2 linked regions of the Schizosaccharomyces pombe genome follow. Changing the gene in region 1 together with any one later gene gives a genetic interaction. Each region holds a gene or a part of one and is shown in the gene's direction. Other genes may lie near its edges. The genes, in order: vrg4 and alg6.

The links.
Region 2: mutations in vrg4 (region 1) and alg6 are lethal when combined (synthetic lethality), as found in Schizosaccharomyces pombe (one study listed by BioGRID).

What each region holds. Positions count from the first base shown.
Region 1 is NC_003424.3:4,688,226-4,692,532, forward strand, and holds vrg4 (GDP-mannose transporter Vrg4), read left to right. Parts: upstream 1-1,915; 5' UTR 1,916-1,944; coding exon 1,945-2,982; 3' UTR 2,983-3,603; downstream 3,604-4,307. Other genes in the region: SPOM_SPAC144.17C (6-phosphofructo-2-kinase), read right to left, coding at 1-237, 288-606; cytoplasmic translation release factor class I eRF1, read left to right, coding at 3,702-4,307. UniProt on the Schizosaccharomyces pombe protein: Involved in the import of GDP-mannose from the cytoplasm into the Golgi lumen.
Region 2 is NC_003423.3:4,198,535-4,203,510, reverse strand, and holds alg6 (glucosyltransferase Alg6), read left to right. Parts: upstream 1-1,640; 5' UTR 1,641-1,808; coding exon 1,809-3,004; intron 3,005-3,052; coding exon 3,053-3,176; intron 3,177-3,234; coding exon 3,235-3,435; 3' UTR 3,436-3,763; downstream 3,764-4,976. Other genes in the region: glutaminyl--tRNA(Gln) ligase Qrs1, read right to left, coding at 1-94; Rho-type GTPase-activating protein Rga1, read right to left, coding at 3,764-4,976. UniProt on the Schizosaccharomyces pombe protein: Probable dolichyl pyrophosphate Man9GlcNAc2 alpha-1,3-glucosyltransferase that operates in the biosynthetic pathway of dolichol-linked oligosaccharides, the glycan precursors employed in protein asparagine (N)-glycosylation.

The sequences.
Region 1 (4,307 bases):
TTGCTTCTTGAATATTCGCATTGATGACATCCTCTTTATTGCACAGACTTTCAATAAACAAGATTTTAAACCCGCAATTCTTGAACCTATCATATAAAATACGACGTGTACGTCTAGTACCATTTGTTGCATCGTAAATAGCAACCTGACCTTTCTCTTTAAGTAAAAAAATCTCTAAGTCTGCTAAACATCTCTCAATTGTGTCATTCCTACTAAAAACATGATTTTCTGATGCAGCTGTTATAAGTTAGCAAAGGTACAAAACGTCGACTATAGTTTCAGCTTACCAGATTTCACAGGCGAACTAGTCATTTCCCTAGTGCGTTCGTCTATGTATTTCGCAAGACTGTAAAATCTACAATTAAATCCCAACCACCTCAGATATCTGTCTATCGACACAGCAATATTAGACTTGCCTCTAGCCGGTAAGCCAGACATGATGATTACGAGCTTTCCGGCATGAAAGAGCATACCGCTCTCTGTACTGTAGGGTTGCACACCTCCAAACTTTTCATTATCGAGTAAGGCTTCAGAGCTTCGATTGGCAGCGCGAAGCATGTTTGGATTGATTGCCTGCTCAACCGCAATTGAATTTCTGCGCGACATCGCAACGTCTAATCAAAGCAAGCTGTTTATAATTAGAGTTTTAATATAATATATGCGATTATATATAAATTATTTATAAATTAAATAGGAAGGTCCAAAATCTGATTGAAATGTACTTAAATCCTTTGCAACCACAATGTTTACAATGTGTGCCTTGTATGTGGGTATTTTGATAAATGATTTCCACAAAGGTGAAATATGCAGAATGTTGTTTACAATGAGTGTAATACCAATTCCTACTAAAAACTGCGGTTTGCAAGAGGTCGACTGCTTATATACAGAGAAGAGCTTCTTACAATTGATATGGGCACAATGCTCGTTTAAGACGGATGGCTAAACATCGGTAGTGCTTTACGCAATACATCTGTGGTTGCACTTCGTTAATTAATTTTTAGCAAAGTTAAGCGTGCCCTAATATACCGTACATATCTGCAATTGGAAACGCCCATAGGAGTTTAAGATGCGTAGCTTTCTAATGGTGGGGTATTTTCGCATACTTATACTACATGTTTTGCATTTGCAAGTTCAGTTGATTTTTGATTATTGAAAGTGGCATTGAGAATTACTGAACACTTCCCAACAACTCATAGATTTTTTTAGCCAATTCCATGATTAAAACATGCGAGTACCTAAACGCATGTATATTATTTTATAGTTGTACTTCATCAATCGTCTTCTCTGCGTCAACACTTCTTTCTGCACTTTTACTTTTGAAATAACGTCTTAATAGCTATTATGGTTTAAAGACTAGACTATTATCTACGAAAAAGCGTTTGTAAGTAGCCCACATTGCATTCGTTTATAAATTTATAGTCCAATTGAACGAAACGAAAGATCCATGTAGAAAGGTCATTGTCTATACGGTTATACTCCAATCATCTATTATAATATGAGTCAATTCCCTTGCCTCTCTAGTTCCAACAAATGCTTAAATTGTATATGTATCTGCATCGCGACTTTATATATGATCGACTTCGACTGGAAAACGATCTTCATACACTAAGGAATTTCACAACAATTCAAACACAGCTTTTACAGTAAATGCTCATACTTTGTTGTAAAACATATGAATTGGTGTAACATTAAGTGTGGCTTGCAGGCGAAAATACTCTTTTATAGATGAACAAAAAAGTATTTAAATAATTATATTTTATATGAGAAGACCAAGTTATTTAAGTTTGATCAACAGAGATGTTAATCAATCTGTATGCCAAAACTTGTTACCAATGGACTGTGTCTTTGAGGAAGGGTAAGGCCTGTTACGTACGCGCTCCTTCCAAACATGGTGGGTAGGTATGTAGACAACTTCACCGGAGCCATCACGAAATTCCAACAACAATGGATAATCATATGCTAAACCGAATTAGTAAATCACCGATTCTTCCAGTGGTGTCATATTGCATGGCTTCCATATTGATGACTTTGACCAATAAATATGTTCTTTCGAGTCCTGGTTACAATATGAACTTTCTCCTTTTGACTGTACAATCCACTGTTTGTGTAGCAGCCATTGGGATACTAAAACGTTTGAAAGTTATTAATTATAGGGATTTTGATTTTCGTGAGGCCAAATTTTGGTTTCCTATTTCCTTTTTATTGGTAGCTATGATTTATACTGCATCGAAGGCTTTGCAATTTCTTTCTGTTCCAGTGTACACTATATTTAAGAATTTAACTATTATTATCATTGCTTATGGTGAGGTCCTTTGGTTTGGCGGGCATGTTACTGCTTTAACTCTTTTTTCTTTTGGATTAATGGTTCTTTCTTCTATTGTCGCTGCTTGGGCAGACATCCAGTCTTCCTCATTTGCTTCCCAAACCTTAAATTCTGGCTATTTATGGATGGTGCTTAACTGTCTCACAAATGCTGCTTTTGTTCTCGCGATGCGTAAGCGTATCAAACTTACCAACTTTCGTGACTTTGATACCATGTTTTATAACAACTTACTCAGTATCCCTGTTTTGGTTATCTGCACGCTCTTTACTGAGGACTGGAGTGCTGAAAACATTGCTCAAAATTTCCCTCCTGATGCCAAATTTGGTGTTCTAATGGCTATGGCTATTAGTGGTGTTTCTTCAGTAGGAATTTCTTACACCTCTGCCTGGTGTGTACGCGTAACTTCTTCGACAACTTATAGTATGGTTGGTGCTCTTAACAAACTTCCCTTGGCTATTGCCGGTTTAGTGTTTTTTGATGCACCCATCACTTTTGGATCTGTTACCGCTATTTTGTTGGGCTTTATTTCTGGTGTTGTTTATGCCGTTGCTAAATCTCAACAGCAACGTCAGAAAGATCCTGCTACCATCCTCCCTATGACTCATAATCCCGTTAGTGCTAGTTCTCAAAGCATGCGCGATAGTCTGTCAAAGTCTTAAACCCTTTGTGTTGGTTATTATTTATGTTTAATTTGCAAAATTTTTTCAAGCCTGCATAAGAGAATAGACTTTGTTTCTTTTTACTTAAAAAGTTTTTATTACCGTTACTCAAAATATACCGCTTTTACTCGTGTTCGATAAAAACCTGATTACGAGATCGTGTCGTTTATTACAACGTGACTATTAGGTTTGAAATATTTTGACAGATAAAACACTGACATTCAATTACAATTTTTAGACCTCTATTATTTCATTTCCTAAATCATTTGCTTTTTTTTTCTAAATATCATTTCTTTCTTTAAAATGCTCTCCGATGGAAAAAGGACGTCTAATGTTCTTATGTCTTCGTTTCCTTTTACTGAGCTTCTAAACTATTGGTTGAATGTTTGTCAGCCGCTTGGAGTCGAATTGTTTAGTGATTCAATTTTACTAATATTTTACCTCCAAAAAATTATTTGTTTTTTTGTATATTATTGAAATACTGTAATAAATACAAATACGATAGCTAAGTTAACGAAATGTATCGTGCTAAAAGTTTTCATAGGCCGTCACCTTTCAGTAGGCAAAAACCTACCAACTACCAAAAACGAAGTACAAGAGGTAATTCGTTGCTTGAACTGTCTGTTCAAGTTATAAAAAAATAGGATTTCGGTTTTCGGATTTTTCATAGTGTGTACAAGAACCTTGGGTATAAAAAACTTTAAAACAAATTTTACAAAATGAGTGAGACTGCTGAGAAAGCTATCGAAATTTGGAAAATTCGCCGTTTGGTAAAACAATTGATTAACTGTCATGGAAACGGCACCTCAATGATTACGTTAATTATCCCACCTGGCGAACAAATATCCAGATACAGCAATATGCTTGCCGAAGAGTATGGCACTGCCTCTAACATTAAATCTCGTGTGAATCGTTTATCAGTTCTATCTGCAATTACTTCAACTCGTGAGCGTTTGAAATTGTACAATAAAGTCCCTGATAATGGATTGGTCATTTACTGCGGTGAAGTTATAATGGAGGGCAATAAGACACGCAAGCTCAACATTGATTTCGAACCCTTCAAACCAATTAATACTTCGCAATATCTTTGTGATAATAAATTTCATACTGAAGCTTTAGCAGAATTGCTTGAAAGTGATCAACGCTTCGGATTTATTGTTATGGACGGTCATCAAACTTTATATGGTGTTGTTTCTGGTAGTGCTCGTGAGGTTTTACAACGATTCACTGTCGATTTACCTAAAAAACATGGACGTGGTGGTCAATCTGCTCTTCGTTTTGCCCGTTTACGTGATGAAAAACGTCACAACTATGTTCGAAAGGTT
Region 2 (4,976 bases), on another chromosome or scaffold:
AAAGCTTTTTATTTTTTAACGTATCTTTTACCGTTGTTTCATTTAATCCTATTTTTGTAAACTTGGCACGTAACTCCTCATAATCCTGGTCCATTTTAGTATAATAAAACTTCCCTCCAAAAAATGTATAAGTATTGCAATAACAGCAAACGCGATGAAAAATGAGAGGGTACGGTTAAGTTTTTAATAAAGCTGTTATTATCTTTCAATTCATGTGATAAGCTCCTATCATTGCGTTAATCTGCATAACAGCGGAGTAGGGAACTAATCTTAAAAATCGTTAAGTTAATAAAAGTAGTTTCAGTATTAAATTAAAATTTAAAACATTTTGTTTACGGTTTGAAAATTAAAACAGGAATTCACACTTTTGCGCTTTTGAGATATTTTTAATTTTTTTTAAAAAAATAGAGAACGCAAAATGCTTTCCGAATCTTTGTTTTTTTCCTTTAAATGAATAGTTGTTTATCGGTTCTAAGCTCTTGCCTAGTAAGGCTTTTTTGCTTTCACTTTAATACTCAAGGGAGGATGATTCTTTATTGCTATAAAAGTTTAGATTTTAAAAACAGCATCAACCACTGTAGTGTACAAATGAATTTCATTTGCCCGCCAAGCAGTTAGTATGTTTTTATTCATTCAATCTGGTATCTCTTCTCAAACGAATGTACTTTTGGGTATTTTAATTAAATTTAATCTAATTAGGTTTTAAATTTTCATAAAATATATAAATAACTATTTGTGAGTCCTTGAAAATATTTCATTTAGCTTAAGCATAAATATTGAAATTATTCTGAAGAGTAAACAATATACAAACAATGCGAGAATGCAAATAATGTTAGTAACTATACAACTTCAGTTTCTATTTCAAATCGTTTTACAAAAAATTAAACTAAACATATGATTAGTAAATATCGCTTAAAATTATACAAATAATGGAGATTTCACAGTGTTCCATCAACGCAAAAAGAAAATATTAGGATAATGCTTGCTTTTACTTAAAACTGTAACAGACCAAGAAATAATTTTACAATATTATTATGAATTCTGGTTTTAAAAGCATGATTTTTCGTCAAACCGTCGCTTTTTTTTTTAGCCCAACAAGGGTTTTCTTTAGAAATTATCATGAACGAAAAGACTTTTAAAATTTCAAAGCTCTTAATTGCAGCTACAAATTCGAGATCAATTACATAGTAAATGTATTAAGGGAATTATTTTTCTTAGCATGTTCTTTGCTAATAAGATTTTCGTTAGAGCTAAATTATTAAACAGCAAACAATTAAGTAATATATTTCAGTTCATTGAATTTAATGGGCTAGTATCACTGAAACAAACTCCTAACTTGCCAAGCTCAATTTATTCTAACATTTACCTATCTTAAGAGAAAAGTAAATCAGTCAATAAGTGATACAGCTTAATTTTCATGTTTATCAACTCATTTTTTATGTTATTGCTCACCCTTGGATCAATTATGTAGTGATAACTTTGCGCGTATTTAATTTTTAGGCTTTGAAACTGAAAATAAAAAATAAGAAAGAAAGAATGAATTAAAAAGTGAATTGATTTTTTTGGACATTATAAAACCATATTTCACGATGATCGCAATGGTGGACCCATAGTCCACTTCGTGGTTCCCAACCCATTTCACTGTTATCCCAACTTGTATCTGCTTTGAATTAGCTTTTCCTTGTTTAAAACATTCCGGATACAAATTCACTCGTTTTTTAATCTTTAAGCTTTCCAAGTTGGATATTTTAATTTAGAAACCCAAAGTTTTAAAGCGAAATCCTTACCGTTTGACGGCCGCTTAAAACATGCTATCTGAGTTTGAGAATGGGGCTCCCGTTCAACAATTCGTTTCTCGTTTTCGATCCTATTCATCTAAATTTTTATTTTTTCCATGCCTTATAATGAGTTTAGTTTTCATGCAATGGCTTATATCTATCGGTCCTTATTCTGGGTATAATACACCTCCTATGTATGGCGATTTTGAAGCGCAAAGACATTGGATGGAACTAACATTGCATACTCCTGTGTCTCAATGGTATTTTAGAGATTTGCAATGGTGGGGATTAGATTATCCTCCTTTAACAGCATATGTTTCTTGGTTCTTTGGTATAATTGGGCATTATTTTTTCAACCCCGAATGGTTTGCTGATGTCACATCTCGTGGATTTGAAAGTCTTGAATTAAAATTATTCATGAGATCTACTGTTATTGCATCTCATCTTCTAATACTCGTTCCCCCTTTAATGTTTTACTCCAAATGGTGGTCGCGCCGTATACCTAATTTTGTGGACAGAAATGCTAGCCTAATTATGGTCCTTTTTCAACCTGCTTTACTCTTAATTGATCATGGTCATTTTCAGTACAACTGTGTTATGCTGGGTTTAGTTATGTATGCAATCGCTAATTTGCTTAAAAACCAATATGTAGCTGCTACGTTTTTTTTCTGTTTAGCTCTTACGTTTAAACAGATGGCTCTATATTTTGCTCCTCCTATTTTTTTTTACTTATTGGGAACTTGTGTAAAGCCAAAGATTCGTTTCTCAAGATTTATCTTGTTGTCAGTCACAGTTGTTTTTACGTTTTCCTTAATATTATTTCCATGGATTTACATGGACTATAAAACATTGCTTCCTCAAATTCTTCATCGAGTGTTCCCGTTTGCTCGTGGTCTTTGGGAAGATAAAGTTGCTAATTTCTGGTGCACCCTCAACACTGTTTTCAAAATTAGAGAGGTGTTTACTTTACATCAACTCCAAGTAATTAGCTTGATTTTTACTCTCATTTCTATTCTCCCATCTTGTGTTATATTATTTCTTTATCCTCGTAAACGTCTTTTAGCTCTGGGTTTCGCAAGTGCATCATGGGGGTTTTTTTTGTTCTCTTTCCAAGTTCATGAAAAGTCGGTTCTTCTTCCTTTACTTCCCACTTCTATTCTCTTATGTCACGGAAACATTACAACCAAACCATGGATTGCTCTAGCAAACAATCTTGCTGTTTTCAGGTAAAATATACATATTTACTGTTTAAATTATACTAATATTTTTATTAGCTTATGGCCGTTACTGAAAAAAGATGGTCTTGGTTTACAATACTTCACATTAGTATTAATGTGGAATTGGATTGGTGACATGGTAGTTTTCTCAAAAAACGTCCTTTTTCGGTTCATCCAACTGGTAAGACTATTTTTATTATTTGCTATTTTTTTATGCCAGGTGTATTAACTGGATGCAGTCTTTTTATGTTGGTATGATTGTTATTTTGGGAATTGATCTGTTTATCCCACCACCATCCCGTTACCCCGATTTATGGGTCATTCTTAATGTTACGCTTTCATTTGCCGGATTTTTTACTATTTACTTATGGACTCTTGGTCGCTTGCTACACATTTCAAGTAAACTTTCTACTGATTTGCGTAACAAAAAAGAAGCATAAATTGAACAAAATGATTTTATGTTACATTATTACGCGGAAAAATCAACATATAGTAAAGGATTTTATTAAAACAATTCTGGGAGAAGGATTGTTATTCATGACTTCAAATATTAAACGAAAGTTATATTTGCCTGAAATATTATTTTAGCCAAGTAACCTTTTATTAAAAGAACGATTATTAAAGTACCATCATCCCATCGAATTCAACACGACAAAGTTGTAAGCGGTACCAGACCGAGCTTTCTACTTTCGTAGCTGATCTAATGTTCAGTAAAAATTGAAAATATGATAAAACAAAAAAAGACAAATGGGATTGTGTATCGATAAATTAGGAATCCCTAATGACTGCATGCTGAGGTTTAACTTGAGGTTTAGGCTGAGCATCGCTGTTAGGTGAAGCTTCATCTTTAGTGGTAGATGAAAGCGAATTTGTGTCAGCAACTTCAGAACCAGAAGGCACGTCTGACGTTAAATTAGTTGTAACTCTTCTTATAGGTTGCCTTTTCCTCTTTGTAGACGCCGTATGTTTTGGAGTATTCCGTTCGTCAAGACTCATCTGAGAAATTATTTCTTCACACCTTTTATATAGTTCTTTAGATGTCCAAGCCGCATTATTATAAAAAAGAGTAGGATCATCTAATAAAAGACTAATTTCTCGAGGGACTTCACAAAATTTCTCAAAGTTCTCAATCAACAGATGAACAGCCTCGATGGCAAGGAAACTTTCGTCAACAGGATCGTTGCTTTTGGAATATAATATGTTCGGAGTAATTACGGTAGCAAGATTATGAATATCCATTTTGCTTCCCACCTCATCATCGATGTGGGAAAAAGAGGCAACCCAATATAGAAAGCCAAAAATTACCTCCATAGTGTCTCTATGTCCCTTGGGTAGTAAACATATTGTAAGATGCAAAACCCTCATGCGTTCTTCCTCAGACTCCAACTTTGAAGACGTAATGAACAACCCAAATAACTTGAAAGTTAAAAGAGGATCAGGAAGCTCTCTAAGGAATTTTTTCAATAAAGCAGCCAACTGAATGGGTGTTTCTTGCTCATAATCAATTGAATCCGGAGAAACATCGAGCATGTCAGATAGCTCTTTTAACCTACGTATATTTCCGTTCTTTCTAAATACACCAACTACTGACATATCTTTTCTTTTCATAGCAGCCAATGTATTCCCAATAAAGGCAGGAATATGCTTGACACCCACGCCTGTTCCAACCGTCGACTGAGCGTTATTACGCTCAACAAGAATCTCCAATGGCACCCCAAAGGTACCTTTCTTTTTCACGTTCTTTTTTTCGGCATCTTTCCCCTTGAAAGCCTTTCCAAATTTTTCCCAGAAACCACCTTTGCGCAAATCGCTCATTTCCATCAATTCATCAAGTGAATAATAATCCCGTACAAGAGGGTGCAATATTAATACAGCTACGTGCTTGGTAAATAATAATTCTAAATTAGAAAGATCTGAGAGATAACGAATAGGAGCATCTTCTGATTTAGGAGTCAAACCCTTTTGCGTACCATCATTTTTA